Linked DNA regions of Ovis aries. The protein of the gene in region 4 interacts with the protein of the main gene of each other region in a biochemical or structural test. Links are inferred from orthologs where the notes say so. Each region holds a gene or a part of one and is shown on either strand. Other genes may lie near its edges.

Region 1 (5,912 bases), on a different chromosome or scaffold from region 4:
CTCACTAATTTTAAACCCATTCAGTTGCCAACCCAACAGCCTTTGATATAACTTTACATGCTATTGGATTTTAATCTTTTTGAGTATTTATATATGTTTTCTTCTCTCATCCCTCCAAAATTAATCCTAGAGTTTTGAGAATCTGGGAACTTGGGCAAAGGAGAAGGCAACGCAGCAGACCAAGAAATTTGAAATCTCAGTTCACTACTGTGTCACCCAAAGCCAATGTACCTTTTTTGTTTGCACTGACCCAGCTCAAGTCATACAATCACGTGAGTAACAGAACACAAAATCCAGGTGTTATTACTGAACATGAAAAGTCTGAAAAGTAATTAAACGTGTTCTAGCTTCCGTGGCGGTGTCATTTACTCTAACATGCCTGTCCTTAAGCCTCTCTCTCTCTTTACATTACCGGCACACACCGTTGCACCATACTCACACATCCATCAGCTGGGACCTGGGAGTGTGTATTTTTCCAACTGGTCCTCAGCATTAGCTGTCAGCTGCACAAACCTTCCTTTGCTTTCTGCATCTGCTGCCCTGGAACGACAGAAGCTTCTTGCAAGAATAGCTCCCGGGGAGCGTTCCTGACAGATGCGCGCTCTGCTTTAGCAAGGCGCTCGCTGGAAAGTTTCTTCTAACCGCTCACACCCGCCTCCGATCCGATCCCCGAGCTGGCAGGACGCGAGCTGGCTGGGACTCCTCTTGACAGAGGAAGGGCTTTACACACACCCTCCTAGGCTGCCCAATACAAGAAACAGTCTTGCAGCCAGACTCCTCCACCCCCAGCGAACAGACCGTCCAAGGCGCTCCGGTGTTTCGAGAACACCGAAGTCCCCTTCCTGCTAAAGGGCGCGTGAGCTCTGCTCTGCAGGAAACCTGGGCACTGGAGGTAGATGGGATGGGTGGCGGCGGGTAGAGCCGGGGCGCAGCGGAAAGCAAACGCCGGAGGCAAACAGGGCGCAGGAGAGGGGAGATTGGGGGCCGCGGGAGGGGGCAGGGTGGAAGCCGGGCGCGACTGGGAACCGAGGGGAACTGGGCACTGGAGCCAAGCGGGCTCTGGAAGGGACGCGCGGGCAGGAACCCGCGAGCGCTGGGGAGGGGCTTGCTTGGCGATCTGCCCCGGACTCCCTAGAGCCGCAGAACCGCCGGTGGAGGCGGGGTGCTAGGAGTTGGCGGGGCCGGGTGGGGGTGGGGGGGAACCAGAGAGGGGCGTGCCTTCGCCAGGATTGGCTGCAGGAGCCTGACGCGAGGCCCCGGGGGTTGGCTCGGGGGAGTGGGAGCCGGGTGGGGTGGGTGCTGGGTGCCGGGGCTGCGGGCTCCGCGAGCTCAGAAACATGCTGAGGTCCCGGCAGCTGTTCCAGCAGCGACAGCGGCTCCAGCAGCAGCGGCGGCGGCGGCGGCGGCGACAGCGCACGGCTCCGGCGGGGAAGGCGCCCGGCGCCCATGCCTCCGGCCCCGCGCCGCGGCTGCGCTGACCTGGCCGCGACCTCCCTCCGCGCGCCCCGCCGTTCGGGCCTCTGGGGGGGTTCCCCAACCGCGGCCCAACTCCGCCACACCCCTCTCCCCCGGCCTCCGCAGCTCGGCATGGGCGCGGGGGCGCTCGCCCTGGGCGCCTCCGAGCCCTGCAACCTGTCATCGGCCGCGCCGGTCCCCGACGGCGCGGCCACGGCGGCGCGGCTGCTAGTTCCCGCGTCGCCGCCCGCCTCGCTGCTGACCTCGGCCAGCGAGGGACCCCCGCTGCTGTCGCAGCAGTGGACGGTCGGCATGGGCCTGCTGATGGCATTCATTGTGCTGCTCATCGTGGCGGGCAACGTGCTGGTGATCGTGGCCATCGCCAAGACTCCGCGGCTGCAGACGCTCACCAACCTCTTCATCATGTCGCTGGCCAGCGCAGACCTGGTCATGGGTCTGCTGGTAGTGCCGTTTGGAGCCACAATCGTGGTGTGGGGCCGCTGGGAGTATGGCTCCTTCTTCTGCGAGCTCTGGACCTCGGTGGACGTGCTGTGCGTGACGGCCAGCATCGAGACCCTGTGTGTCATCGCCCTGGACCGCTACCTCGCCATCACGTCGCCCTTCCGCTACCAGAGCCTGCTGACCCGCGCGCGGGCGCGGGCCCTCGTGTGCACCGTGTGGGCCATCTCGGCGCTGGTGTCCTTCCTGCCCATCTTCATGCAGTGGTGGCGGGACAAGGACGCCAAGGCGAGCCGGTGCTACAACGACCCCGAGTGCTGCGACTTCATCATCAACGAGGGCTACGCGATCACCTCTTCCGTCGTCTCCTTCTACGTGCCCCTGTGCATCATGGCCTTCGTGTACCTGCGGGTGTTCCGCGAGGCCCAGAAGCAGGTGAAGAAGATCGACAGCTGCGAGCGCCGCTTCCTCAGCGGCCCCGCGCGGCTGCCCTCGCCCGCGCCCTCGCCCGGGCCGCCGCTCCCTGCCGCCGCGGTGGCCAACGGGCGCGCCAACAAGCGGCGGCCCTCGCGCCTCGTGGCCCTGCGCGAGCAGAAGGCCCTCAAGACGCTGGGCATCATCATGGGCGTGTTCACGCTCTGCTGGCTGCCCTTCTTCCTGGCCAACGTGGTGAAGGCCTTCCACCGCGACCTGGTGCCCGACCGCCTCTTCGTCTTCTTCAACTGGCTGGGCTACGCCAACTCGGCCTTCAACCCCATCATCTACTGCCGCAGCCCCGACTTCCGCAAGGCCTTCCAGCGCCTGCTCTGCTGCGCGCGCCGGGCCGCCTGCGGGAGCCACGGGGCCGCCGGGGACCCGCCGCGCGCCGCGGGCTGCCTGGCGGTGGCCCGGCCGTCGCCGTCTCCCGGGGCCGCCTCGGACGACGACGACGACGACGACGAAGACGACGTCGGGGCCGCGCCGCCCGTGCGCCTGCTGCAGCCCTGGGCTGGCTACAACGGCGGGGCGGCGGCGAACAGCGACTCGAGCCCGGACGAGCCAAGCCGCCCGGGCTGCGCCTCGGAATCCAAGGTGTAGGGCCGGGCGCCCCTCCCCGCCTTCCCCGGCTTCCCCAGTCCGGGCGCGGGCTGTGCGCTCCAGGAGCAAGAGAACCCGGGCGCCCCTGAACCGCTTCCCCGGGAAAGAGGTCTGTGTTTACTCGAGACCGAAAGCAGGTGAACTCGAAGCCTGCGAACCTCGTCTGCATCATCCAAGGGCAAATAGGAAAGCCACGGACCGTCGCACAGAAAGGAAAGTTTGGGGAGAGGTGGGAGAAGTTTGGGGAGGGGTGGAAGAGTGGCTTACTGATTGTTCTTGGGGTTCTTTTTCCTGTTTCTGGTCCAGCCTTCTGTGTGTGCGTGTGATGCATCTTTAGAGTCCCTCCTCCCCCCGCCCCCCCGCCACGTGGCTTTTAACACTTTCTGCGATGACTGGGAAGGGAAGGGGGAAGCGTTAGGAGGTAAAAGTCTCTCGACTTAGTTTCCATCCCATTCCTGGGAACAGAAGCGGTCAGCCAGAGAGAGAGGAGAGAGAATGACACTTTATCAGGACGTTGTTTCCTTTTGCTTTTCAGAGAAATTCCATTTTAATTTCTGAGGAATTATTTCTCCTGTTCTGAAAGCCGAGGGCAAGGATGGATGCAAAAATCGCGTTTCAGGAAGTTTTATGCTCTTCTTGGAACAAGCCTCACCTTGCTTCCCTTTCGGAGGGCAAGCGGGCTGTCCCTGAACGCCTCCTCGGTGGTCAGGCTGAGGGGTTCCTACCTCACTCACACGGTGCACATTGCACGGCCAGATAGAGAGACTTGTTTATATTAAACAGCTTATTTATGTATCAATACTAGTTGGAAGGACCAGGCGCTGAGCCTTCGTGACATGTGACTCTGTCCATTGAAGACAGGACAGAAAAAGGAAAAAGAAAAAAGGAAAACAATTCAGATTACTGCACATGTGGTATAGACAAAAAATCAAAACAAAAAAGCCGTGATTCAAAGTGGCATTTTTTTTGCACAGTATTAGGAACTGTAAAGTCCACAGAAAATGTTATTTGCACAAAAAGAAATGAAATATTTTTTAATGGGAGTGGGGTGGGGCAGATCTTAAAAACTAAAATAAAATTCAGATTCTATCTCTGTTGTCTGTTATGTTATTGAGCTAGCAATTTATTGGAAAATACCTTTTTATACTCTTTTATCATGGTACTGTATCCATATTATAAAAAATTATCTTAAGGATTTTTTTTATTATTTTTTTATGTCCAAGGGCACACGTGAATCTGCTGGTGAAATTTAGCACTTGTGTGTAAATACTATTTCCTCTGTGTGCTTTACCAAGTATTTATACTCTGGTGCAACTAACTACTATGTGAGGAATTTGTCCATGTGCAATAAATACCAATGAAGCACAAAAAAAGATTATGTACTGTGTGTCTGTAAGGGGGGTCAGTGATAATGGAAAAGACAGTTTGTTTTGTTCGCAATATAGACTGGATTTCCCATAGAGCTCTTTTAATAGCTTTTCATGACTCAAGAGCATAGCAAAATGCCTCTAAACCAAATAAGGCGTGCACCTACTGAGAGAGAGCTGCAGACTTGCCCTACATTTTCATAGCCGGTTCCAGAATATTCTAGACTACTTGGAGGTGTTTTCAAGATCCCATCTGCCACACTTGACTTAAGAAGTAACATTTGAGCTTGTGCATCTTCTTTAAAAAAAAAAAAAAATGGAGTCAGGTAGCTCAGCTGCAATGTTGTACAGACAACGCAGGAAAGGAGACTGGCCTGTGGAACCATCACTGTCTACTTAGAATTTGGTAAGTGGCATTCACAGTTGGTTTTCCAACAGAAAATCGCAGCCTGCAGCGCACGCACGTGTATCCAGTGACTGTTTAGAATGCAAAATGCTTTACTGATTAAGTGAAAATTCATAAAAGAGCCTTTAAGTAAAGATTTTTCTCTTGTATGATTAAACAGACCATTTCAGCGGAAGTTCTGGTTGGGCAGGTAACAGGGAGAAGTAAATCTGAAGTTTTAAATTTTCCTAACAAGATTACGACACCCTCAATGGATAGTTTTCCTAAAATTAGTTCCTAAGGAAAGTATAGTGAAATTCTATCTTGGGATTAATTCTGCATTCTCCAAAATAACTTCAAGTATTTCTCTTTGTATTTTTAAACAAGCTTTTCATTTCATGATCGTATAGTAAGGAAACCAAAGTGAAGAGTACAAAATTCTGGCTTATACCGAGATGAAACATGAACAAACTCTTCTCTACCAAGGAAAGTCAAGACCAATTACCCTTTTTCTGCAATGAGATACTCTAAGGACCAGGAGAGAGGAGAGTCTTCTGAGAAAGGTTAATGTTGCCGATGTTTTAAGAGATCAGCGGAAAGTTGCATGAACAGTAGCCATTTCAACAAAAGCTGCTATGAAGTTTAACCCCTTTCTCCAGGAGAAAAAAAAGGGGGGGTGTGGAGCAGGAGATGGCAAGACTTACTAAAAAATAGAAAGATAAATACTTGAAGAATTGTATTTTGGAGAATGTAAAAATCAATTTCAGGATGACATCTCACTATCCTTTCCCCAAGGAACAAATACAGTCCATTTCTATCCTCCCTTCCCCCAGAGTATGTAAGTCACATTTTGTTAGGGATTTTGTTCCTCTTTATTTTAAATCACACAAGATTAATAGACAATGTCTGGTTTCATCTGAAGAAACACTCAAATACCAGGTAATGCTTCACTTTCCTGTTTTGTCTAGATAAGTCTTTACATTTAAATAAATTTTTCCAGCCCCAAACTTACATATAGATCTGTCAAACCTTAGGTCTCAAAATCACGAAAAGTCCTATAAACTTTAATAACAAATATAAATATATATATGGATATATATATATATATATATAAAAGTAACTGTTTAGTATACAGATCTAAACTCTTTAGTGAGTTAGAGGAAACCACT
Region 2 (5,796 bases), on a different chromosome or scaffold from region 4:
AGCGGGCTGCTGCAGGAGATACCCTTTTGCCCCGCGAGTACAGCACCAGAAAAGTTACGCCCTAAGGGGCAGGGCGCTAGCGAGAAAGATGCGACAGACCCCTGAAATCTAGTCCCTTCTCCCACGGTTGGGAAGGCAGAGCCAGTGATTCCAGAGCTCGGAGTCTCAGGTTTCGGTCCTCTAGCTTGCTCTGTGGGTAGCGGGCAAAGGGTGCGACCAGCTTGGGAACCCTCGCTCCGAGATCTGTAAGAATCAGCGGCAGCAGCCAAGGTGAGGGAAGGCGGGGGCACGTGCTTGGATGTGGGTGCTTGTGTAACCAGCTCCTCCGGCGCCAGCCCCGACAGCGCTCCAGTAGGAGGCTCGTCTGAGCCTGTTCTTCCACCGAGACCCAGGAGGCTTTGGGGTCCCGCTGCCGGTGCAAGGCGGGAGCACTCTGGGCAAAGGAAGCGAAGCATTTGCCTCTACAGCTATCATATGGGAGTGGGAATTTGGAAAGTTCCCCAACTAGAAGTACACGTGACCTCCTCCTGAAAGTAGTTCCGACTGTGGCCCGCGTATCCCTCCACCTCCTTTTGAACCCTCCTCGGCTCCGCCCACTCACAGGGGCTGCAGCTTCCTACAATCACGTACTTCGCCCTCCCGCGCTGCAACAGGGGTCTGCGGCGCGCACTCCCCAGCTAGGGGGAGCGCAGAACCTGGCTCCGGGGCGATTCACCCAGCGAGGTTTTCACAGCGGTCCAAAAGGGGCGGGTCGAGGAGCCTCTAAGGATCGAGCTTGAATTGGAGTGGTGAACTCAGCTGGAAACCCCAGGGGAGAGATTCTCGGCTCTCCAGGGGGAATGCAGGGCGCATTCCCTCTTTGGGGATCCGCTTTCAGCCCACCTGGACAGTTGCCTTTGGGGATCTAGAAATTCAGGGGCGATGTGCTCACACTCAGCGCGCTCTGCTAGGAGCTTTCATTTTTAGGGCAAATGAATCGAGTAGCCGGGGGAGCGGGAGGTGGGGCGGTGAGAGGGAGCCGGGTGAGGTGATACACACTGGAGACACAATAGGGGGTTGTTCTTTGTACTAAGACTGACACCTTGAGGACACGGGCGGGGATGGGTGGAGAGGTGGGACTTCTCGGCGGAGGCTCCTGCAGTCAAATCCCCGCGAACGCTTATGATCCGACATCGGTACAAAAGCAGAGGAAGGCTGCCGGCCGTGCCGGGGAAGTCTGGGCGTGGGGGGAAGGGTGTCCTCGCTGCACGGGCTGTCCCTGCGTTTCCCTGAACACTGACCAGCGCGGTCACCTGGTCTTTTCCACCTGTGCGCAGGTAGTCTCACCCTCAAGTCAGTGAGACAGATGAATAAACCTGCTTCAACCTTCACCGCGCTCCTTCCCTCCCCCCGCTGCCCGCCCCCGCCTGCCCACCTTCGCAATAGTTTACCCTGCCTCCGGCTGGGCACCGGCCGTGGCTCAGCTCGTTCCCCCCACCCTGCGTTGCTGCAGAAGAAGCCGCGGCAAGTGCAGTTACAGGCGGGCGCCTCGCAACAAGCCCGATCTAGCACTAGGCAGTCATACTGGGCATGCTCAGTGCGCCTGCAGGTTGGGGACCCGGAGCTGCACCTTCTGCCGCCTCCCTACAGTCTCGGCCCTGCCCTTCCCTCCCTTGGCGCGGTCGGGTACGCCTCCCTCCTCCCCTCGGGCTCCCGAGGCGCCCGGACTCCCGGCGCGGCGGCGGCGGAGGGGGCGGGCAGGCCGGCGGGCGGTGATGTGGCGGGACTCTTTGTGCACTGCGGCAGGATACGCGCTCGGGCGCCGGGACGCGGCTGCGCTCAGATCTCTCCTCTCGGAAGCTGCAGCCATGATGGAAGTTTGAGAGTTGAGCCGCTGCGAGGCGAGGCCGGGCTCAGGCGAGGGAGATGAGAGACGGCGGCGGCCGCAGCCCAGAGCCCCTCTCAGCGCCTGTGAGCAGCCGCGGGGGCAGCGCCCTCGGGGAGCCGGCCGGCCGGCGGCGGCGGCAGCGGCGGCGTTTCTCGCCCCCTCTTCGTCTTTTCTAACCGTGCAGCCTCTTTCTCGGCTTCTCCTGAAAGGGAAGGTGGAAGCCGTGGGCTCGGGCGGGAGCCGGCTGAGGCGCGGCGGCGGCACCTCCCGCTCCTGGAGCGGGGGGGAGAAGCGGCGGCGGCGGCGGCCGCAGCTCCGGGGAGGGGGTCGGAGTCGCCTGTCACCATTTCCAGGGCTGGGAACGCCGGAGAGTTGGTCTCTCCCCTTCTACTGCCTCCAACACGGCGGCGGCGGCGGCGGCACATCCAGGGACCCGGGCCGGTTTTAAACCTCCCCTCCGCCGCCGCCGCACCCCCCCTGGCCCGGGCTCCGGAGGCCGCCGGAGGAGGCAGCCGTTCCGAGGATTATTCTTCTCCCCATTCCGCTGCCGCCGCTGCCAGACCCCTGGCTGCTGAGGAGAAGCAGGCCCAGTCGCTGCAACCATCCAGCAGCCGCCGCAGCAGCCATTACCCGGCTGCGGTCCAGAGCCAAGCGGCAGCAGAGCGAGGGGCATCAGCCACCGCCAAGTCCAGAGCCATTTCCATCCTGCAGAAGAAGCCCCGCCACCAGCAGCTTCTGCCATCTCTCTCCTCCTTTTTCTTCAGCCACAGGCTCCCAGACATGACAGCCATCATCAAAGAGATCGTTAGCAGAAACAAAAGGAGATATCAAGAGGATGGATTCGACTTAGACTTGACCTGTATCCATTTCTGTGGCTGCTGCTCCTCTTTGCCTTTCTGTCACTCTCTCTGATAACGTGGGAATAGACGGATGCGAAAAAATGTCCATAGTGCGGGTGACATTTAACCCCGGTCGGGTTTCTAGATGTGTATTTTGTGTCTCTTTTGAATGCATTCCGCCTAGGGTGTGTTCGGCTAGACGGAACTCTTGCCTGGTTGCAAGTGACAAGGCACCGATGGGTCTCTTTCTAAGGGCTATTGTCCGCAGAATCCAGTACACTGTTAGTGGATTAGTGAGCTCGGTAATCCGGTCTACTAAATGAACAGAAAAGTAGGTGCTTTGAGCTTGAGCATATTTCGATTAAATCTTGGCTTTAGGCCCTAGATCAAGGGTATAGATCAGATTAAAAGGAAAATTAGTGTTGCACGTACGGCTTATTGCATCAGAATCATGCAGTGATTGTTTTTAGTTTCCTGGGTTGCATTGATAGATTCTTTTAAAATGTGAGTTGTGAACTGATTTGCATAACTTTAGAGAGAATCATTTTAGCATATATGGTGCTCATTTGAAGGCAAAAGTAGGTTTATGTGTTAAAACTAAGTTAATTACAACTTTGAACCGCGTTTAGAAGTTTAGCAGTTTGAAATCAATAGTCTTTGATACTTCTCAAAGACGCTGACTAGATTTTGTTAAATTTGCTTTTTTATTTTTATGGTCTCTTTAAGATGATGGAGAATAGGACATGAGATGTACAGTTCAGTAGCATTGTAGATTCAGTGCTCTTCTGACAGGTAATAGAATGGAGATTGAGTGGTTTTTGATCTCAGATGATAATGTTATGTAGGTTCAAGGGTATTGTGTGTAGCAAATGGTGATTGCAGAGATTAAACTTCAGTTTCACTTAAAATTTAAGTATTGATTGTGATACTTGAATTGATACTCAGCTTTATTTAGGTTTCAGGTCCTGTGACACCTTTGGGTATCCGTTAATTTTACTCTGACTTGTGTAGAACATCAAATATAATTTACCAGCTGATAACCAGAAATGCTGGCAAGAGTGGATTTACTCCATCTTTGGATTGTAGGTGTGTTCGCTTTTTTCATATGGTGTATTAAATTTACTGAGTCAGCTTGTTGAATAAGACAGAAACCCAAGAATTTCATTGGGGTACAGTTGGCTGTCTGAAAGTTAGGCTTTTGTATTTCAAAAGATAGTGGTTATTGAAAGGCATGAATCTTCGCAGTTTCAGGTATAATGAACAAATTTTGATCAAGGATAGGAGGTAGAGCCCTCCTTTTTGGCAGAATGGGAAATATGTTAGGAATTGAGAGTCACTGGTAGGCCAGTGTATAAGGCATGAAAAATAGGATTAAGTTATTGGTCTGAGGTGACTGAAGCATTTTATTAAGGTTTCTATTAAAGACAAAAAAATTTGGTGATATGAATTGTAGCAGTGGACAGTACTTAGTTAAAACTAAGCAGTTGTGTAGGTGTTAATAGAGTATACTAAAAAAAAAATGGTTCCTTAGCAAGTATCACCAAACATTTTGCCTAATAGTAGAGTGACACTGAAGTGCCTGTATCTCTAGCTAAAATCTATGGGGAAGATATTTTTGAAGAAAAATGTTACATACATGAGGAGGTTTTCTTTCTTTGCATTATATATCTGCACATACATATATACATACATAGTATTTGCAGCTGATTTTGCCCAAGTTTCTGATATGAAGTGAAGGTAAAAGTTACTGAAGAAGTAGCTTTACCACACACATAACTTAAGTTTTCTGTTAAGTTTAAAAATAGTATTTTAAAAGAATATTTGGACATTTTGGAGTTGCATTAATTGAAAAAGTACTAAAACAGCTTGACCTGTTTGCCCAGAAGATAATCATGAAAAATACTTAAACTTGGTTCTTCTCATTTGTAACCTATTTCAGAAGTAGTCTATTGGTGTGACTTGACAGTCATCTAGATGTATAGGACCAAATTAATTAAACGTTTAACTTTTTAAAGTAAACCCCCATTCAAAAAATTTTCTAGAATGCTGTTTGTTTGGCAGATTGCTTTTAGTATTCAGAGTATGTTTATGCTATTTTTGCATAAAAATGGTGTTTTTGCTATTTTTGATTTAAAATTAACAGAGTTATAAGACTATCATTATTCTACCAGGTTTTTATATGTGAGCAGTGCGGCGATTAGCCATTTCTCCTTTGATTTCAGGGTGCGTGCCTCTGTGTGTGAAATTTATGTGACTTACAACTTTCTCTAAAACTGTCCTTTTAGTTATGGTATGCATAGAAAGCATTATCATATATTGCATCAAATGACTAATAACACTTAATTTCTAGAGTTGTGGTTTTATTGAGCCAAATGTTGATATGAAAAAAAATCATGTTAGGAAAGTCAGTAAAGGGTTTGCCTTTTTGATAGTTGCACTTCCAATAATTTTGATACACTAAGGCTCTGGTTTGCTTGGTTTCACTTCAGTGTTTTGTGTTTGTGGTGGGGGAAAAATTAAAATGGCCATTGAAGGCTTTTTCTCTGACAAGTTGTAGTATCTATTTCAACAGTTAGCCTTCTCAAAGTTCAGTTCTTTAATGAAAGTAGTGATTGGAGTATTTTTATAGAAGTCAGTAATGAAGTGACTTCCTTAAAGGAAAATTGAGGACTATGGTGGTTTTTTTTTTTTTTTGCAAAATTGAATTATTCTAAAAATAATTTGTTGGTTGGGGTTTATCCTTAATATTAGTCTGAAAAGTAGTACTGAACATGAGACTATAAAAAATTCATTGTTTTTAGATTTCATGGACACTTTAGGCTTCTATTGAATTTTAATTGTTTGATAAGTTTGCATCTTTTCAAATAATTAATGTTCGTAGGGGAAACTTTTTAATTCATAGAGAGTATAGTGACTGTTGAAGTTAGCTGTTATCTTTTAAGATTAGTGATTACTGAAATGACTGTATAGTGAAGATTTTTTTTAAAAAAGATTCTACTCAAAAGTTTTTATTTTACACTTTTTATATCAGTTAAGTTGTATCTCTTTCCTGTACAAAATGACTGGGCCACCTAATTGTTACAGGATAAT
Region 3 (5,931 bases), on a different chromosome or scaffold from region 4:
AGGTACTCCAGGAGAGGCTCCGGATGTTGGCACACTCTCCTGTCCAGCCTTGGCTGAGGGCTAGTAGTTCCCGCCAGCCCTGGCACCTGGCCCCCAGCTTCCAGCAGCGGGCAGAGTTGCCAGTGCTGGGCTCTGAACCCAACTCCTGGGGCTGCTTCCTGCCTATGGGGCACGTGCTGTCTTTGTCCATCTGCTGCCCAGCTTCTCCAGACACTGCCCCGGACGCTTTTTTTCCCAAGACAGAGTGGCTTGGGTGGGAAGGAAGGATGCTTATTGGAACCCATCTCTGACCTCTGGGGAGGGGGCGCAATGGCCTGGGGGCCCTCGGTCGCTGTGCCCATGAGTATTGCTCTCTGAGGAAGCGGGAGGAGAGAGTCTCCACCCTCTTAGGGGCCAGAAGGCCTTTCCTGTAGACTCATAGACGAGGTCTTCCATTCAGTATTCTGCAAGGTCAGTATCATTGTCCTCATTCATTCATTCAGCAAGTGTTTATTGAGCACTTACCATGCGGCAAGTACTTCTCCAACCAGCAGGGTGCCACTGTGAACAAGACAGACCTGCCCGCCTAGTACAGGTGAGGAGACCGAGGCTCGAGAAGTAATGTGACAGACACATTCAGAGCGAGTGGCTGGCAGAGCCGGCAGCAGGGGCTCTGTCTCTGTGGCTGCAGACCTGTGCTCTTTCCACCCTCTGTACAATAGTCAGTCCGGAAGGGCAGATGCGCCCTGTCTTCCCAGGACCCTGGCTTTCAAGGGGAAGGTCACCTGTGGTCCTCTCTGCACTCCTAGTGCTCTCGCTAGGGCCGCCCATTTCCCCCTAGAGACCTTGTGCATCAGCTCTTACAGGCCTGGGCGTTCCATGAGGATGGCACCCAAGCCAGACCCCGGGACTGGAGGCAGCCAGACAGGCTCCCTGAGTCCTCCAAGATACTGCCCTGTAAGCGCCCACCTCTGGGTTCACCCACCACCTCCTCCTGTCTCTCACTGGGGATTCACGTGACTCTGGGTCATAGCCCCATGTCTGTCACCTGCTAACAGAGAGGCCACAGTTAAGTCACTCAGCTCTTCTGAGCCTCATCTGAAAAATGGGAGGAATAGAACCTACTCTGGCCTCCTTGCTTGCTTTGCTGGTTTGAGGTTTCATTTGACAGGCTATGTGCCAGACCCTGAGCTGGGTGCCAAGGAGACAATACCGGACAAGCCGTGGCTCCTCCCTGAGTTAATCTGAGGTTTGCTCGGTGCTGTGAGGCCCAGAGGAGGGAGGAAAGGACTTAAGGCTGTATGGACAGAGGAGAAGACATTTAACCAGGTCCTCAAAGAAGACCAGGAGTGTGCTGGAGTGACTGGGCAGGAAAGACTTTCTTGGTAGAAGGAGCCACCGTGCGAATGCTTGGGGACAAGCTGGCCTGTTCAGGGTCTCAGCTTGTTCAGTTTAGCTCCAAAATCGGGATAGTAATAATGGTGATTGTTTGTGGACCAGTTATATGCAAGCTGTACTTTTTTTTTTTTTTTTATATTTATTTAGCTGTCCCAGGTCTTAGTTGTAGCACTTGGGATCTTTAGTTGTGGCATGTGGGATCTGACCAGGGATCCAACCTGGGCCCCCCTGCTTTGGGAGTGTAGAGTCTTGGCCCACTGGACCACCAGGGACGTCCCTGGATGTATCTATTTTATAGACACTATTTTGCTTGCTTCTTAAAGCTACCCAGTGAGGTACATTACTTTTATCCCCATTTCACAGATGAGGAAACTGAAGCTTTGAGAAATGCAGTAACCTCAGGGTTATGCAGGTGATAGAAACCAGAATTTGAACCCACAAGGTCAGATTCCAGAACCCACATTAATCACCTGTGGGAGCTGGAGATGACGGCTTTGAATGCCATACCAAGGAGCTGGGACTTTATCCCACAGGCAGTGGGAAGCCGTGGAAGAGTTTGAGGCCTGGCACCTAGAAAGTTCTCAGTAAGGAGTAAGTGAGTGACCAGGGGAGTCACTCAAATGTAATGGTTGCAGTTGAGTTTTAGGAAGGGTGAGGGCTTAGAATGGGGGAGGCTGGTGTGTAGGCCCTTGTTACCATCCAGAGTTATGTCAAGAGTCTGCAATGCTGGGTGAAGTGGAACTCCGTCTACGAAGGCCTCACGCCTCCTCCTCCCCTCAGGCCTGGTTCCACCCAGTCCTGCTCCCCAAGCTCCTGAGAGAGAACACGTATGGTGGAGCCTCAGAACGCTGGCCCCTGGGGAGGATTAGGGGCATTAAGGGGGTTCAAGGGGCAGGATGTCCAGGGACTGGCGGGGAGGGAGTGCTGCTCCAGGAGCAGGGAGATTATATAATGGGGAAAGCACAGCTGTGCCTGCTGCTGCCAACAAGACTGCAGCTGCCCTGTGGACTTGGCCCCTGGTCCAAAGTCCTGGGTCTTCCTGGTCTCTCCACACTCTTGCTGCACATGAGGGCTGGAGACCGCTCCGTTTAGCTTCCCAAGGCCCGGATGGGGTAGGTTACTCACTTCATATCACACAGGAAAGGGGTGGTATACCCAGGGTGGACAGCACCCAGCGGAGGGTGAAGTCTGGGGTCTGGAGGACTGTGCAGGGGTGAGCTGCCATGCCTGCATCTCTGTTGCCCTGGCTGGGCGCTGGGCTCCTCTTCCTCAGTCTCTTGAGCACCTCCTGGTGTCAGAGACCGGATTTTGAATCCCCGCTGAGCAGCATTGTGGCTTAGGTGCCGTCACTAGGCTTCTCTGCGCCTCAGTTTCTTTCTCTGCCAAATGGGACCCGGGCCTACCTCCCAGGTCAGGAGGGTTTAATGGTGCCACAGATGTGAGGTACCAAAGCCAGTGCCGGCGTGCAGCAGGGGCGCGGAAGAGAGCAGCTGTTAGCACCAAAAGCCTCATCTCTGCCTCCCAGGACTTCCCGTTTATTAGGAGGGGCTCCCAGGTAAAGAACCTGCCTGCCAATGCAGGAGACCTAAGAGACATGAGTTCAGTCCCTGGGTGGGAAGATTCCTGGAGAAGGGAATGGCAACCCACTCCAATACTCTTGTCTGGAGTAGCCTGGCAGGCTACAGTTCATGGGGTTGCGAAGAGTTGGACACAGTTGAAGTGACTTAGCACGCACGGCCCACGAGTCCGTAGTCCCTGCATTGTGATAAGTGGTAAAATGAAGGTTCATAGGGAGTAGCAGTGATTCTGCAAGGATGGAGAGGGGTCCCAGAGCAGGCAGGGCCAGAGCATTTCTGGGCTGGACACTCTCCCAGACTTTATGTCCTTCAGCCCTTGCATCAACTCTAGGAGGTGGATGTAAATACCCATGTTACGGATTGGGAAACTGAGGCCTCTTGAGTTGGTTAGTTGGCACACACCCACAGTCCTTTCCTTCTCACTGGGAGGAGATGGCATTTGAGCCGGACCTTCAAAGATGAGATGTTTTCTAGGCAGAGAACATGGGAGGGGTGCCCAAAGCGGGCTACCTGAGTTGGGGCGATTGCAGAAGGCTTGAGGCCTGTCCCCTCCCAGAACTCCCGCCCCCACCTCCAGGGCCCCTCTAGCCACTGGGAGCATCCAAGGGCTGGGGCGCCCCATAGGGTCTGTCTTTGCTTTGTGCCACTCTGGTAAGTTCTGACAGTGTTCCCCACTCTCTCCTCTCTTTTCCAGAATGGACAAGCCTCAGGGGAGGAAGCTGGGCTTCAGCCATCCAAGGTAAGGGCCAGGCCCTAGCACCGGAGCTAGGGATCGTCAGGGGTGGAGTGACTGTTTGCCTGGAGTGGACAAGGAAGGAGGCACTGACCTTGTCCCGCCCAGGTGTGAGGCCCCCTGGCCCAGCTCAGCCTTCCTTCTCTGAAAGTGAAAGTCACTCAGTCATATCCCACTCTTTGCAACCCCGTGGACTATACAGTCCATGGGATTCTCCAGGCCAGAATACTAGAGTGGGTAGCCGTTCCCTTCTCCAAGGGATCTCCCCAACCCAGGGATTGAACTGCGTGTTGAAGGTGGATTCTTTACCATCTGAGCCACCAGGGAAGCCCAAGTCCTTCTCTGGGCCCACCTAATGCTCGAGGCAGCCCCGTATGTCAGGATTACTTGCTTCAGCCTTCCGGTTCCTCAGGGGAGTGGACTATGGCCCAGACAGGGTCAGAAGCCAGGCTAGAACTCAGGTTTACCCGTCCCCCAGACCAGGACGCTTCCTCTGCTTATTTACTCGTGGTGGCTTGGCTGACTGTATTAAGAGGGTGAAGGGGTGATGGGAGAGGCTTAAGTCCACTGGGCCTGACGAGGGCATGGCACCTGGTGCTGGAGGGAGCCTGGTGGCCTCCAGTCACACCAGGGCCCAGTGCCTGGCGTGGGGCACACAGGCCGTTTCTCAGGCCCCCTCCCAGGCCGGCTCCCTCAGCTCTACGCTCTCTGCTCCCCTTGGGTCTATCCCTTCAGCCCCCAGGGCCTGTTGCTGGTTTTGTGTGTTGACAGCACTATGAGGCTGGGGGACAGTCTGGCCTGGGCTTTCTCATCGCCGTGCTGGGAATGGCCTCACCCAGTTCTCAAGGCGTTGTGAGGTCGCAGAGCTGCTGGCTGGGGAGGGGCTGTGGAAGCCACCAGGCAGGACAGGGCCTGAGTTCTGGCGGTAGAGCCTACCTGAGTTCTGGTCCTGCCTCCACCATCGCCATTTGACCTGAAGCTTCTCCCTTCTGAGTCTGGTTTCCTCAGCAGTAAAATGGGAATAATGGTACCTGCCTCCTACCTCTCAGGAGTGACGTGAAGAACAGATAGAAGAGCAGCTGCCTGGCACACAGTAGCTTTAGTCCTGGCAGCCTGAGTGCCTGGCCGTGTTGCTCAGCTCCATTGCCTGTTAGTGGCCGCGCCCTTCTGGCCTGGGTCTGCTTAGGTACCAGACCATAAGCCTGACCTTTGAGATAGACTGAGGGCTGGTCCTGATGTTTGTCTTGACTCAGCCTCCTAAGATAAGGGAGCCGAGTTTCCTGGGGTAGGGCAGGCCAACAGAAGTAGGCTCCCACCCCTCCTCTTTTTGTTACTATGGCAACCTTGGGTCACCAAAGGCCAGGCCGAGTCATGTGGACTGAGCCCCTTGACTTGTCTCAGCCCCATGTCTCAGCCTCCTGTGGGAGAATCTCTTCCCACCAAGTAGCTGCTCCTGGTTGCCTAGTAATGAAGGGACTGTAGGTCTCCAGTGAAGGTCCAGATGTTCAGATCTTGGGGCTGTAGTTCTAGGGGTTGCAAAGGTGCCTGCAGCTTTGAGGGAACTGGTGGTGAGTACAGCTTCTCACCTCAGAGCTAGAGGGGCTGGTTAAGAGAAGACAAGCACTTACCCAGGTGGACAAACTACTCTTGATCCCAAGTCTGTGATTCCTTCCTGCTTCTGGAGCAGATCCTGGGGTGGGAAGGGAGATGAAGCTGGACGTGGATGGGGCAGGGAGAGCCTTGAATGCTACGTTAAGGGAGAGAAAGTGCCATACCAGGAGCTTTGCATTTGGTTCTCATAACATCCCCAGAGGTAGAAACTGTTACTCTCCCCATTTTACAGATGAGAAAGTTGAGGCCCTAGGTCAGATCGCTAATGGGCAATGAAGTCAGGTCTTGCTTGACCACAGAACCCACATTCCTCCCAGCCCAGGAGACACACTGAGTGCTGAAGAGGAGGAGCACTGCGTCCCCGTGAGCACAGTTTCCGTCATTACTCGGCACCTGCTCGTTCACCTTCTCTGTTGCTGCAGAATCTTGTAGCATCCCCAGTGCCCACTTTTGGGCTCAACACACCAGGGGGCGCTCAGCCTGTGGTCAGAACCTCATCGCTTTGTGCAGTGGAAGGAGCTGGTTTATCTTTTGCATCATCACATGTTCATGGCACTGGGAATCCCAAAATGAAGTCAACACCCCACCCTCAGGGAGTTCTCAGCATTGGGGAAGGGTGGTGACAAGAAAGCT
Region 4 (6,073 bases):
TTATTAAGATGCCAGGAGAAATAAATTAATATATATAAAGCCTATAGAACACGTGATAAATGTTAAAAATAAATGACAAAAGGAGAACTTTATAAGTGTATTAGCCATACATGTTCGTTAGTAAATTGACCATTTATAAGCTAATATGCATGGGTAATACTAACATTTATAATGTTTGTGTTTAAAAATTCATCCCGTATTCTGTTTTCATTATCAATTTCCATTTAGGATTGGGTCTAATAATGCTAAAACCCAACTTTGTTGGGTGAAACTGGTACAAAATGCCTTGCTCACATCTGGACATTGTGAGCACTGTCCTGGCACTGTCCCTGGCTCACTGAATAATCATCAATCAAACCCAATTTATCCAGGACTCATTTTCTCAAGTGAAAAAAAAAAAAAAAAAGACATGGTTAAATCATCTCTTTAAAGATTTCTTCTGTTCTGACTGCTTTTGATCCCCCATATCCCCAAACAATGAGTTACACTAGAGAAGCAAAAAGGAGGAAATTATCATTTTGAGTGCCTACTCATTTATGTCAGGCAAACACTTTGCATACATTGCCTGGCTTCATCTTTATCACAGTTCTGTCACATTAATACTGTCAATCCTATTTAACAAATAAGGAAACTAAGGCACGGAAAGGTCAACAATTTACTCAAGATCACACTCTTGCTAAGTAGCAGAGCCTGAATTCAAACCTGGTCTTTCTGTTTGGGTCGACTAAGCATTTTTAACTGTTCCGCTTGCCTCCCACACTGTCTTCTCAGACAGCTAGAATCCTACCCGCTCAATGCTTTTCATGCTTTGCTTTAAAGAGACGAGTGGGTGTGCAACTTTTTTTTTTTTAAGTATCATTTGAAAGTAAAGCAAATGGAACTCATTTATCAGTTACAGGAATTTTAAAAATCACTCCTAACATCTCACACAAAATTAGCCTTTGAGTAAAAATCAGCGGCCCTCCTGCATCCTGGCGCCCCGGACGTCACCTCACCTCCCGGCTGCAAACTTGCTGAAGGTAAAGAAGCCTGGTGGCGGACCAGCGAGCTGAGTTTCAGCCCCGGTTCTGTCGCTCTGGTCGCCCTCCGAACCTTCTCCTTTAGTGTAGCAGGAGGTGGTCTCCTCAGGGCAGCTTAGGGTTTCCCCTCTTCCCAGCCCGGCTGTGAGGGCGCGCGCGACGAGGGCGTGCCCCGCGGTCTCGCCGCAGATCCCGCGTGAAACTGCCCAGTTCTCTGAGGAGGCTGCTCACCGCGGCTGCCCCCACCCCACTGCTTCCCGCTTCTTCCAACTTGGAAAAGTGAAGCCCCTGCCCCGCGGTGCCTGGAATGCCTTTCACCAGACAACCCTCCGCTAAGTTCCCTTCTGCACCCGAGGTACGGGCGCTGACAGGAAAACCAGCCTGCAGTTCTAACTTTACTCTCCTCTGAGAGGAATTCTGAGAACTTTGAGACGGGTCTGACTGAAACGTGGGAGACGAAGCCTGTCTAATTAGTGAACTCCGACGCCTCCACCTGGCCCGCAGCGCCCAGGCCTCCTCCTGGGCGAGGGCACGCCGGGCGGGTCCCACAGCTCTGCCCTTTCTCATGCCGGGATCGGACGCCCGGAGGCTCGCGGCGCCACCAGCCACAGCGTCCGGCACTGAGTCAGGGCATCCTCACAGCGCAGCAGCCTAGCGCTGCGTTCGGCCGCCGGGAGGCTGAAGAAAGGTCCGCGCTGGGCTCGCAGCCCTTCCTGCCGGCCTCCCCACGCCGGGCCTCGGCTCCCCTCCTTTCCCGCTCCCGCCTCCTCTCGTAGGCTGCCAGGCGGACCCAGCCTGCCTCTCTCTCAGCCTTCACTACCGGGTCAAGCTGCGGAGGGGGGTGGGGGGGTGAGCGGAGACAGCAGTAAGCGGCTCCCCACCCGGCGCGCGCGCGCCCCTCCTCCCCGCTCTAGTCCGCTCCCTCCTCAGCGGCGCTAAGCCTCCTCCCCTGCTGCCAGTACAGTACAAGTCGGCCGCGCGCGCGAGGGCGCGAGCGCGCGCGGACCCTGCCACTGCCACTGCAGCTACCATGGATATCAGCTAACAACACACACTCAGGCGCGCGCGCGCTCCCACTCGCACCACGCAGGAGTGGCCCCCGGCATCCCTACTCTCCTTCCCCACCCCCACTCCACCCGCTCACCAGCTCGGCTACTGCTCGCTCAGGCTGCCGCTGCCGCCGCCGCCGCCGCCACCACCACAGCTCTCCTCTGCTGCGGGGCCACAGCCTTGAGTGTCATTCAAGGGACAGCACAACCTCACCCAAGCTCTCCTACCTCTGCCCAGCCGTCCCTGTCATCCTCCCCCTTCCTCGACCACACTCCATCCAAAGAAGAGGGAAAGCACCGAACAGAGAGGGGAGGAAGGCAAAGTCTGCTCTCCTCACCTCTTGGCCCCCTGGCTCCTCCAGCCTCATTCTCTCAGCACCAACTCCCCTACCCCAAAGGAATCCCTCAGGAGCTGAGGCGACTCACCCCACTGCCATGTCCAAAAGCTTGAAAAAGAAAAGCCACTGGACGAGCAAAGTCCATGAGAGTGTCATTGGCAGGAACCCGGAGGGTCAGCTGGGTTTTGAACTGAAGGGGGGCGCCGAGAATGGACAGTTCCCCTACCTGGGAGAGGTGAAGCCGGGCAAGGTGGCCTATGAGAGCGGAAGCAAGTTGGTGTCTGAGGAACTGCTGTTGGAAGTGAACGAGACCCCCGTGGCGGGGCTCACCATCAGGGACGTGCTGGCCGTGATCAAACACTGCAAGGACCCCCTCCGGCTCAAGTGTGTCAAGCAAGGTAAGCGCAGCGGCTGGCTCGGTGCTTTACCAGGAGGCTGGACCGCTCCAGACGCCGGGGCATCATGGAAGGGTGGGCTCGCGTGTGGAAGGGGGTGTGTTGCGCGACAGTGGGGTGAGGTCGATCGAGAACCGGCAGAGCAAGTGAGCTTTGCCGGGGCTCAGAATGGGGGGCTCAGTGGGAGGGAGGGGCGGTTGCGGTGCAGCGTGCAACTTTGTTTGCGCAGTTACCACCTCCCGTTTGGTAGGTGTTCGGCCTTGTCTGACCTCGGCGGTGCCGGCGAGCTCCCAGGGCAATTGAATGTGCGTCAGCCGCATGGCCCGCAATGGATGAAGAGCTTTTAGGGAAGGAAAGAAGGCAGAAACGAAAAAGGAGGGCAGGAGAGAGAGGAAGGAACAACTCGAGGGTGCAGCGGCATCACCAGCAGGGCCGGTAGGAGTAGGGGGTGACGGGGCAAACGGAGACCGGCGCCCTCCGTTTCGGTAGCTGTACTGAAGACACCTTGGGGATCCCTGAGCCACTAATTGACAAAGAAGGGAAGGGGCAGGTTGCTTCGGGCGCGTTGACGGGTCTGCCTTAACTTTTTCCCTGCCTCGCTCCTCTGTCCCCCTCCCCCGCCCACGGTCGTGTCATGTGGGCACCGCGCGTCACGTGCGCACTGACTAACTCGGGAGCTCACCCCGAGCCGGCCCGCGGGAGGCGGCTCGCGAGGAAGGCGCGGCGCTAGCTGCGGGTTCTAGAGTTGGAGGTCGGAGGAGAGACGTGGTTACCGGAATGTTCTTTACTATGGGGTTGTCTTCATGAGTGGAAGTTCTCTATGGTCGGACTCCCCTCTGGCTTCGGATTTGGGCAGGGGCAGGGGCGGGAGGCGTGTTTCTAAGGAGGAACTGGATGAAAAAGCCTTCTGGTTTCGACTGAGGATCCGGTCAGCTCCAACCTGGTTTAGATGAGCCTCCGCTGAAGGCTGTGATGGGATCCTGCAGAGTTCTCGCAACTGTCTTTGCCTATAGGAAAATGCTGGTCCTGAAGTAGAGAAGAGAGATAAAAGTTTCTTGGAAAGAGGACAACTTTAGCTGGAATAAAATAGTGTATCTTCATTTTCCACATCATAAGTTTTGTAGCTCATATTCATAATTCTGTGTGACATGTATGTATATGCGTCACAAATCGAAAGATTTGTTGTTGGTGACACATTGTTCGGATTCAAAGATGGAATTGAGCATGTCATTGCCTGCATGACAATATCTCTTAGGGAGATATTCTTGTCTATAAACCAGTTTTAAAAGTAAGTCAGTGAAAAATGAAACCTCAGGCAAAATTTCTTAAATGTAAACTGCCATACAAAAAAGTTTTAATTGGGGATTCTTGAGTGTTAGTGACTGATGACTTGAGATAGGCTAATGTGAACATTGACTTCTTTGTCAGGCCACAGAGTTAAATACGGTATGAACCTGAAGAATGTGTTTGGTAGGAAGGCAAATAGAATATCTTACTGTTTTCCAAGATGACATACCAGAGGCTCGAATATAGGCATTAATGTTAGCGTATTTGATGTCATGATACTATTTTATAGTAATAGATATAAATGTGAAGTTCTGGTTTTGAATCCAGAAGTCTATGTCACAATTAATGACCATGGTTTTATTGACAACAAGGTTGGTATTTGTAGTGGAAAATGGCTGCCAACTTTAAGATATTGTTATTAATAAATTGGACTAATGATTGTAGCCTAATGAGGGAAGTGTTTATCCCACTGTAGTTTGTAATTATGACCACATTTTAATGTACTCATTCTGAGCACACTATTTTGAGATGAACCTTCACAGGCTGTTGCTCTAGCAGCTAGAAAAGAAAGAAAGGGAGATTTTGGGGGTATTGTCAATCTATTCTATAAAATCCAGTGGAAAGACTTTAACTTGGAAAAGTGAAGGCATGAAAGCTATCATTAAATACTATCCTATGATTATGTATAGGGCAAAAATAAGACAAATCTGTGGAAATTTTTAAAGGATGAAGCATTTTACTTTTATTAAGATGATTTTAACAGAGCTTTAAAAAAATCTGTTAACTATACTGTGAACTCATTAGCTCCCATAATTGTGAGTGTTTATAGAGGCCAGTGACCACATACCATGGATTCCTATGTAAGATGGGTACCTGGACTAGATCTCATGTAAATCCTTCCATGAATTGATCCAAGACAGTCTCAGATATTCGACTTCTATGTTAGGTTTTATTTAGAAGATTATAGTTTTTAGAACTCATGGAGTATAGACATATAATGTGATATATTTGGGGTTCTCTGGTAGTTCAATTGGTAAAGAACCCACCTGCAATGCAGGAGACCCCATTCATTTCCTGGGTGGGGAAGATCCACTGGAGAAGGGATAGGCTACCCACTCCAGTATCCTTGAGCTTCCCTGGTGGCTCAGCTGGTAAAGAATCCACCTGCAATGCAGGAGACCTGGGTTTGATCCCTGAGTGGGGATAATCTCCTGGAGAAGGAAAAGGCTACCCACTCCAGTATTCTGGCCTGGAGAATTCCATGGACTATACAGTCCATGGGGTAGCAAAGAGTCAGGCATGACTGAATGTGATATATTTAGGGAAAATTTCTTTTCATTCTTTTAGTTCTGGATTTCACTGGGTCATTGATGATTGATGCTTATAATGATATTCACAGAGCTCCCACAGGAACCTGATTCACCTTCTGAATCTCTATTGACCAAGAAACAAAAATAATTGCTTCTTTTAGCTTTTGTGGAAAATATAATCCGCTTTTATATTCTTCCATGTGTGGTGATTCATATGCTATTCCCACCGTCGAAATCTTTCTTTTCCCTTGTCAAATAATAGATCGGTTTACTTTATCATTGTGAGAAAAGTGAAAATTTCAGAACCTTAGATATAGTGTCTGTGTGTCTTGCGTTTCATTACCGATTTCACGTGCTGGAAAAATACATAGAAATTCTTGGCTCTGTAGTTTTATTTCTAGAGATCCAATAAACTAACATAATTGAAAAAACTTAAACATGGTTTGTTTAGCAGTTGTTATTTAAAATACTAATAGATAGCTGATTTTTAAATATTCAACACTGTGTATTATACAGAAACTACGTACATAATCAGGCAAACTAAGGCAGATTTTGCAAAGAAAAGGAGAAATTTGCATAACAAGAGTGTTTATTAAAAAGTGCACCATATAAAATTGCATTGTTTAATCAATTTTTATTTACATGTTTGGCCAATTTTCCTTTACAGTTGTTTTA
Region 5 (5,888 bases), on a different chromosome or scaffold from region 4:
GCTAGGTTTTAGTTGCAGTATGCAGGATCTTCAGTCACAGGATGCTAACTCCTAGTTGCAGCATGTGGGATCTAGTTCTATGACCAGGGATTGAACCTGGGCCCCCTGCATTGAGAATCTTAGCCACTGGACTACCAGGGAAGTCCCCGACATGGCTCACACTTTTGCCCTCATTTCCCTTCCTGCCCAGGCTCCCCTTAAAACCCAGCTCCACATTATTTGTCAAAGAAGCAATTGGGAAATGGCCCCGCAGCGCCTGGATACAGACATTGCAAAAGAGCATCCCCTCACAGGGAACACAGAGATGTTGAGGTTCTCCCTCTCGAGGCCCTGGAACAACATGGGACGGACTTGGACTGCGACAGTAAGTGAGAGGACTTTCCCAAGGGCCACAGCTGTGACCAAATGTGCGCTTGAAAAAAAAATGCTTGCAGGGATTATTTTCAAAATGGCAACAATAGCTGTGTTAAGAGGGAGAGGTTGTAATAATTTCCCCCTCTGGTTTTCAAACTTTGTGTAATACTGCTAGATTGCTTTTGTGACTACAGCCATGAAACCAGCTTTCTCCGTGGAACTCACTTTCCCAGATAGCCCACCAGGCCTTGCCTTCTCCACTTCTCACACTCAACCAAACCCGCTGTTCTGAGTCACACTCGAGTCTCCCTGCGAGGACCCGTGGCTGTTGGGTAGGAGATTCAGAGGTGCTCAGTCCCTGGCCCTCCCCTGGGGGTAGAGACCATATTTTACCTGTCCCCTTGGCATCCACACAGATTCATGCTCATCCTCTTTCCTTCACTGACATATACAAGGCCCCTCCCATGCACACACACATTCTCACTCACGCACACGTGCACACACTCTCCCCCAGTTCTCTGTAATCAGTTCAGTGTGATGCCCACAACAGGGGCCCCAGAGCGGATCCTTCCCACCTTTCCTGATACTGGCTGACTTGTTGAGGGTCAGAGCCACATATTGGATGAAACCCACCTAGATTCGGGTTTCCCTGGTGGCTCAGCGGTAAAGAATCTGCCTGCCAATGCAGGAGACGTGGGTTCGATCCCTGGGTCAGGAAGATCCCCTGGGGATGGAAGCGGCAACACACTCCAGTATTTCTTGCCTGGGAAATCCCATGGACAGAGGAGCTTGGCGGGGTACAGTCCACGGGGTTACAAGAGTCAGACACAACGTAGTGACTAAATCAGCACCCACCACCACTCACCTAGGTTCAGAAGTTCATACTGACAAAACTGCCTGAGTTATCTCCCATCTGGCAGAAGTCAAGGAGGTTTTAGCAGCTTCAAATATTTTCTGGTAAAAGCTAACAAAAGAAAGTCTTAGAGTTCAAGTGCCTGAGTTTGAATTCTGGCTCCACCATTCACTGGCTGCATGACCTTGAGCAAGTTACAGAGCCTCTCTGTGCTCAGGAATAATTTCACCTTCCCGGAGCTGTTAGGAGGACAGTATGACTTAATATTCGTAAAGCAGGTAGAATACTACCCAACAAGTTGTATATGCCATATAAATAAAAGAAGAAAGTAATTATTTAAATGAAACTGCATTAGCTGACCATTCATTCACTGCATCTTACTCATTCAGTGCCTTTACTGAGCACCTACTGAGCTCATTAGGCCAGACATAAAGGACACACATCCGACGACCTAGCAGGAAGCATACACACACACAAACACGCAACGACAACAATAAGAGAAATTTTTTTTCTTTTAGAAAAGCATAATTCTAAGCAGAAATCTGCACACGATTCAAACAAAGTCCAGAGAAAGAACATTTACCTATTACCATGTAAACTTAAAAACAAAAACCTACAGTTCAATCCTTCGAATCTGTTTGAAACGTTGAATTTTTTCTGTTTTGTAAATTTAGACCCAGGTTTGGTACACACTAGCCTTTGGGAAAATATTCCCATTCAGTGCCATCTATTCAAGCTCTCTGGATGTTTTTCCCCCAGCTTCCCTCCCTGGGTCTCCCTGATCACCCAAAATAAATTATGGGTTCACCCCTAATCCCAGTTAAGGCGTGGGGGAGGGGATATGGGTTTAATCAGACCAACCTTTACTCACTTTTAAAAAAACTAACATAACTATTCGGGAGAGGGACAAAGAGAATAGAGGAAACCTAGGTAATTAACAACGTCTCAATTGATGACCAGGCAGCAGTTGCATTTTTAAACCTTGGTGGTTTAACTCAAATCACTTTGTGTGCTACATACGTACAGCTGGTTTAATAACTGATGGAAAAATGGAAATCAGTCAATCCGCACCCCTCCCCCAAATCCATTCTTTTGAGTGTAATCGCTTTTTAAATGCGCTGAATCCCATCAAGCCGCTGTCTGCTCACGCTGTCCACTCTGACCCTGCGGAGTCGGGATCCTCAGGCGAGAGCCCGCCGAGGCCCACCCACCCCTCTCTCCGGCTGCTGCTTGCGCGCCTACCCCCGCAAGGCGAACCGCTTTGGGAATCGCCTGGCACCTGCAAGTGGCGGCTGTCACTAGCTGCAGGCCGGGGTGTCGACCCTCAAGACCTTCCCCGGGGCCCAGGGGGAGCCCTCGTCACCCCCGAACTTCAGTGGACAGACGTGAGATCTGTCCGGACGTGAGATCTGGAGACCTTCCTAAACTCCGGGCGCAGGAATCGCGTCGCCAGAACCCAGACAGGAGCGGGCAGGCACAGGAAACCGCGAGTGCAAAGGACCGGAGAGCGAGCGCTGCGATCCCGCCGGCGGGCCGGCGGCGGCGGCGACGGCGGCGGCGGAACGGTAACTACCGCCGGATGCTCGGTTGGCTCTCCGGAGATTGCGATATTGATCCAGGGCTCGCAGGCGCGGGGGACATTTATCTCCCCGGACTTTCAGGGGCAGGAAGGAGCTCCCAGGAACAGGGCGGGGGCGCGCTGGGGCAGATGGGGAACCCTCTGTCCCCTCCCGAGCTTCCTGTCCCGGGACCCCGGTCTACACGGGACGGGTGGGAAGAGGAACCCTGAGTCGGTTCCCAAAGCCTAGAGCGATTTCCCTCGCAGAGCTGGTTGCCGGGGTGGGCGGACCCCCCCGACTCCCACCCCCCAACACCAGCCAACATTCCCGAAGCTTCGCCACAATGATTTCTTTTTTCTTTTTTTTTTTCACCTGAGTTCTCCCCTTACCGCTCAACGCCGGCTCCAGAGGTCCAAGAAGAGGGAGCTGGCCTGCCCCTCACACCCCGGCCGCCCCCGGACCTGGGCACAGTTCTGCTCAGTGACACCCAATCACACCGTCCGCTTCACACCCACTGCCCACTGCGCCCGGAACTGGGGGCCCCCGGTGCTCGAGGGCGGACTGGCTCGCTCTTACCTTGACAAGCCGGAGCTGCGGGCGCCGTCCCATCCTCGGGCTCGCTCGGTCACCGCGCTGGAAGCCTGGGTCCCCGGGACATCCCGGCGGGGGCGGGCTCGGGCGGCTTCTGTGTCGCCGCCGGTGGCGGAGGTGCCCGGCTCCGCGCTCCCCGGCCCCGCAGCCCGGCCCGGAGGGCTCTCGCTCTCCTCTTCCCGGGCAAGTCCAGCCGCCGCTTCCGGACTCAGCCCGGCCCGCGGCCGCCTCTCGCCCGCCGGGAGCCAGCCTCGCCCCCGCCGTCTCCCCCTCGGTCCGCGCCGACACTCGCCGCGGCTCCCCGCCCCCTCGCCTGGGCGTCCCCTCCCCTCCTTTCCTCTGCCCTCCCCTCCGCTCCCGCCTCAGCGCCTCGCCCCTCCGCTCCCTCCCCCGGCCCGCCTCCTCCGCCCCGGCTCGTTCCGGGGGCGGCTCCCCGCGCCCTAACGGCGCTGACCCCCTTTCCTCGAGCCGGGTTTGCGGCAATCGGCGGGGCGCACTGGCAGCGCTGGCGGCCGCCGCAGCCCGGGGAGAAGCTGGGGAGGTGGGGGGGGGGGGGGGGAGAGGAGGCAGCTTCCCTCCTTCCGCCGGCTTTCAGGTTGGGGCCCGAGGAGTCCAGGAGAGTCTGAGGGGGTCCTGGGGGGGCCCAGGTCAATCTACAAGAGAGAAGCGATTGGAGGCTGGGGAATAGGGCAGCCCGGACTGAGCAGTGCCGCCGCGGAAGCCGGGTGAAGCTGGGCGCTGCGTTCGGGCAGTTCTCTCCCTGCCGCGGGGCGGGGAGAAAGTCCCCGCCGCCCCCACCTCAGCGGGGCGAGGGCCAGATCCCCGCGCCTTTGGCACTGACACGCCAGGAGCGCGCTGAGGTGTGACAGCTCTGAGGGAGGAACCCTTCTCATTCATTCATTCGTTTGTAAATTCATTCTACTAACTAAGCGCCTGCCCAGTTTGGTCCCGGCAAGGAGGTGAACCTAGGAACCCCAAGAGCAGGCGAGATGGCGGTGCCGGGCAGGACTAGCCGCCCTCTGACCGCGGAGGAGGGGGAAAGCCGAGCGCGCATTGCGCTGCAGGGGATAGCGGCTGGGAATCCAGTGGACTGGGCGAGGAGTAGGCCACAGCGCCCCCTCTCGGCCGAGCGCTCAGGGTAGGGTCAGCCGCCCCGCCAGACCTCCTGGCCCCCATCCACCTTGGCTCCCTAGCTCCCCATCCCGCCCCCAAGCATTGGGAAGCAGCTCCCGACTTCTCCAGCCCCTAAAGACTTTCCCCTCCAGCGGCTCTTCCAGATGGACAGAACTTTTGACTTCAATGTCTTCCTTCCTTCCACCAGAGCCGAAAGGCGAGTAAAAAAATGTAACTACCCCGCAGATCCTCCTCCTGCAGCGCCAGGAGCAACCCCTCACCAGGAACCCTGAGCACCCAGGGTGGACCACACTCCCAGAATGGTGGTCCGCTGACTTTGCAACCCAACTCAGAATCTAACCTCCCTGGAGATTCTGTGCACTGCCGCGCCCACCCGCCTCCTTCCTTCCACCCACTTCTCAGCACATTCATGGGTCCACTGCTTCTTCATTTAGACAGGGAGTTATTGTAAGATGCCTTGTGAGGAAGCTGAGGCGCATAGACCAGTGGTGGCCTGTCCACACTCACATAGCTGGTGAGCCTAGTTCTTAGCCTCCTGATTTCCAGGTCAAAGTGTCCCCAGGGCTGGGACCGGATGGGTTTGGGGCTCTGAAATGGGGAGGGGCAGTGCCCAGGAAACCAACTGGTCACACTAGCTTAGCTACACTGGGTGGCACTTTCTAAATAAAGCACATGGTCCTGAGTCTTGAAAACCCCTAGTTGGTTGTGTGTGTGTTTGGTTGCTCAATTGTGTCTGACTCTTTGTGACCCCATGGACTGTAGTCTGCCAGGTTCCTCTGTCTGTGGAATTCTCCAGGCAAGAATACTGGAGTGGGTTGCCATTTCCTTCTCCAGGGGATCTTCCTGACCCTGGGACTGAACCAGGGTCTCCTGCACTGGCAGGCAGATTTTTTACCATCTGAGCCCCTGGAGCTGGTCGTGCTGAGCTTGACACAGACTCACCCCAACCAACCCCAAAGAGATGGATGCACCAACTAGGTTGCCAATTTATTGTTTTCAACAAAAATGAAATGCAAGGTAGTCCAGTATTCTTTCCTGGAGAATCTCATGGACAGAGGAGCCTGGCGGGCTAACAGTCCTTAGGGTCAAAAAGAGTGGGATAAGACTGAAGTGACTTAGACCCATGCACACACTAGATTCTGGAGTCAGCCTGAGATTGAGTCTTTGCTCTTCTGCTTACAAGCTGTATGAACCTGGAAACTTATCTCATACTGCCTCAAGTATCTCATCTCTATATTGGAGCTAGGAATACCTACCTCATAGGTTAAATGGTGGTTTAAACAAGTTGATATTTGTAAATGGCTAGGAATGATGCCTGGCTTAGTGAAGGTTAGGCGTCATCACCGCCATCACCACCACCACGATCATCATCTTCGAGTGGACCAGATGCTCAAATG

Evidence for each region.
Region 1: the proteins of MAGI2 (region 4) and ADRB1 interact in a test that uses a peptide from one of them, tested with the Homo sapiens proteins (4 studies listed by IntAct, with this or other methods). The link is inferred for Ovis aries from reciprocal best matches to the Homo sapiens genes MAGI2 and ADRB1.
Region 2: the proteins of MAGI2 (region 4) and PTEN form a complex in vitro, tested with the Homo sapiens proteins (2 studies listed by BioGRID and IntAct, with this or other methods). The link is inferred for Ovis aries from reciprocal best matches to the Homo sapiens genes MAGI2 and PTEN.
Region 3: the proteins of MAGI2 (region 4) and RPS6KA1 interact in a test that uses a peptide from one of them, tested with the Homo sapiens proteins (2 studies listed by BioGRID and IntAct, with this or other methods). The link is inferred for Ovis aries from reciprocal best matches to the Homo sapiens genes MAGI2 and RPS6KA1.
Region 5: the proteins of MAGI2 (region 4) and CRHR1 form a complex in vitro, tested with the Homo sapiens proteins (2 studies listed by BioGRID and IntAct, with this or other methods). The link is inferred for Ovis aries from reciprocal best matches to the Homo sapiens genes MAGI2 and CRHR1.

The regions. Positions count from the first base shown.
Region 1 is NC_056075.1:34,061,340-34,067,251, forward strand, and holds ADRB1 (beta-1 adrenergic receptor), read left to right. Parts: upstream 1-1,331; 5' UTR 1,332-1,446; coding exon 1,447-2,991; 3' UTR 2,992-4,080; downstream 4,081-5,912. UniProt on the Homo sapiens protein: Beta-adrenergic receptors mediate the catecholamine-induced activation of adenylate cyclase through the action of G proteins. This receptor binds epinephrine and norepinephrine with approximately equal affinity.
Region 2 is NC_056075.1:9,240,215-9,246,010, forward strand, and holds the start of PTEN (phosphatidylinositol 3,4,5-trisphosphate 3-phosphatase and dual-specificity protein phosphatase PTEN), read left to right. Parts: upstream 1-1,820; 5' UTR 1,821-2,647; coding exon 2,648-2,726; intron 2,727-5,796. Other genes in the region: KLLN (killin), read right to left, coding at 77-616, 1,093-1,173. UniProt on the Homo sapiens protein: Dual-specificity protein phosphatase, dephosphorylating tyrosine-, serine- and threonine-phosphorylated proteins.
Region 3 is NC_056055.1:240,329,504-240,335,434, reverse strand, and holds the start of RPS6KA1 (ribosomal protein S6 kinase alpha-1), read left to right. Parts: upstream 1-2,258; 5' UTR 2,259-2,273; coding exon 2,274-2,489; intron 2,490-3,648; coding exon 3,649-3,693; intron 3,694-5,931. UniProt on the Homo sapiens protein: Serine/threonine-protein kinase that acts downstream of ERK (MAPK1/ERK2 and MAPK3/ERK1) signaling and mediates mitogenic and stress-induced activation of the transcription factors CREB1, ETV1/ER81 and NR4A1/NUR77, regulates translation through RPS6 and EIF4B phosphorylation, and mediates cellular proliferation, survival, and differentiation by modulating mTOR signaling and repressing pro-apoptotic function of BAD and DAPK1.
Region 4 is NC_056057.1:43,277,274-43,283,346, forward strand, and holds the start of MAGI2 (membrane-associated guanylate kinase, WW and PDZ domain-containing protein 2), read left to right. Parts: upstream 1-2,031; 5' UTR 2,032-2,503; coding exon 2,504-2,804; intron 2,805-6,073. UniProt on the Homo sapiens protein: Seems to act as a scaffold molecule at synaptic junctions by assembling neurotransmitter receptors and cell adhesion proteins. Plays a role in nerve growth factor (NGF)-induced recruitment of RAPGEF2 to late endosomes and neurite outgrowth.
Region 5 is NC_056064.1:45,527,714-45,533,601, reverse strand, and holds the start of CRHR1 (corticotropin-releasing factor receptor 1), read right to left. Parts: upstream 3,647-5,888; 5' UTR 3,376-3,646; coding exon 3,343-3,375; intron 1-3,342.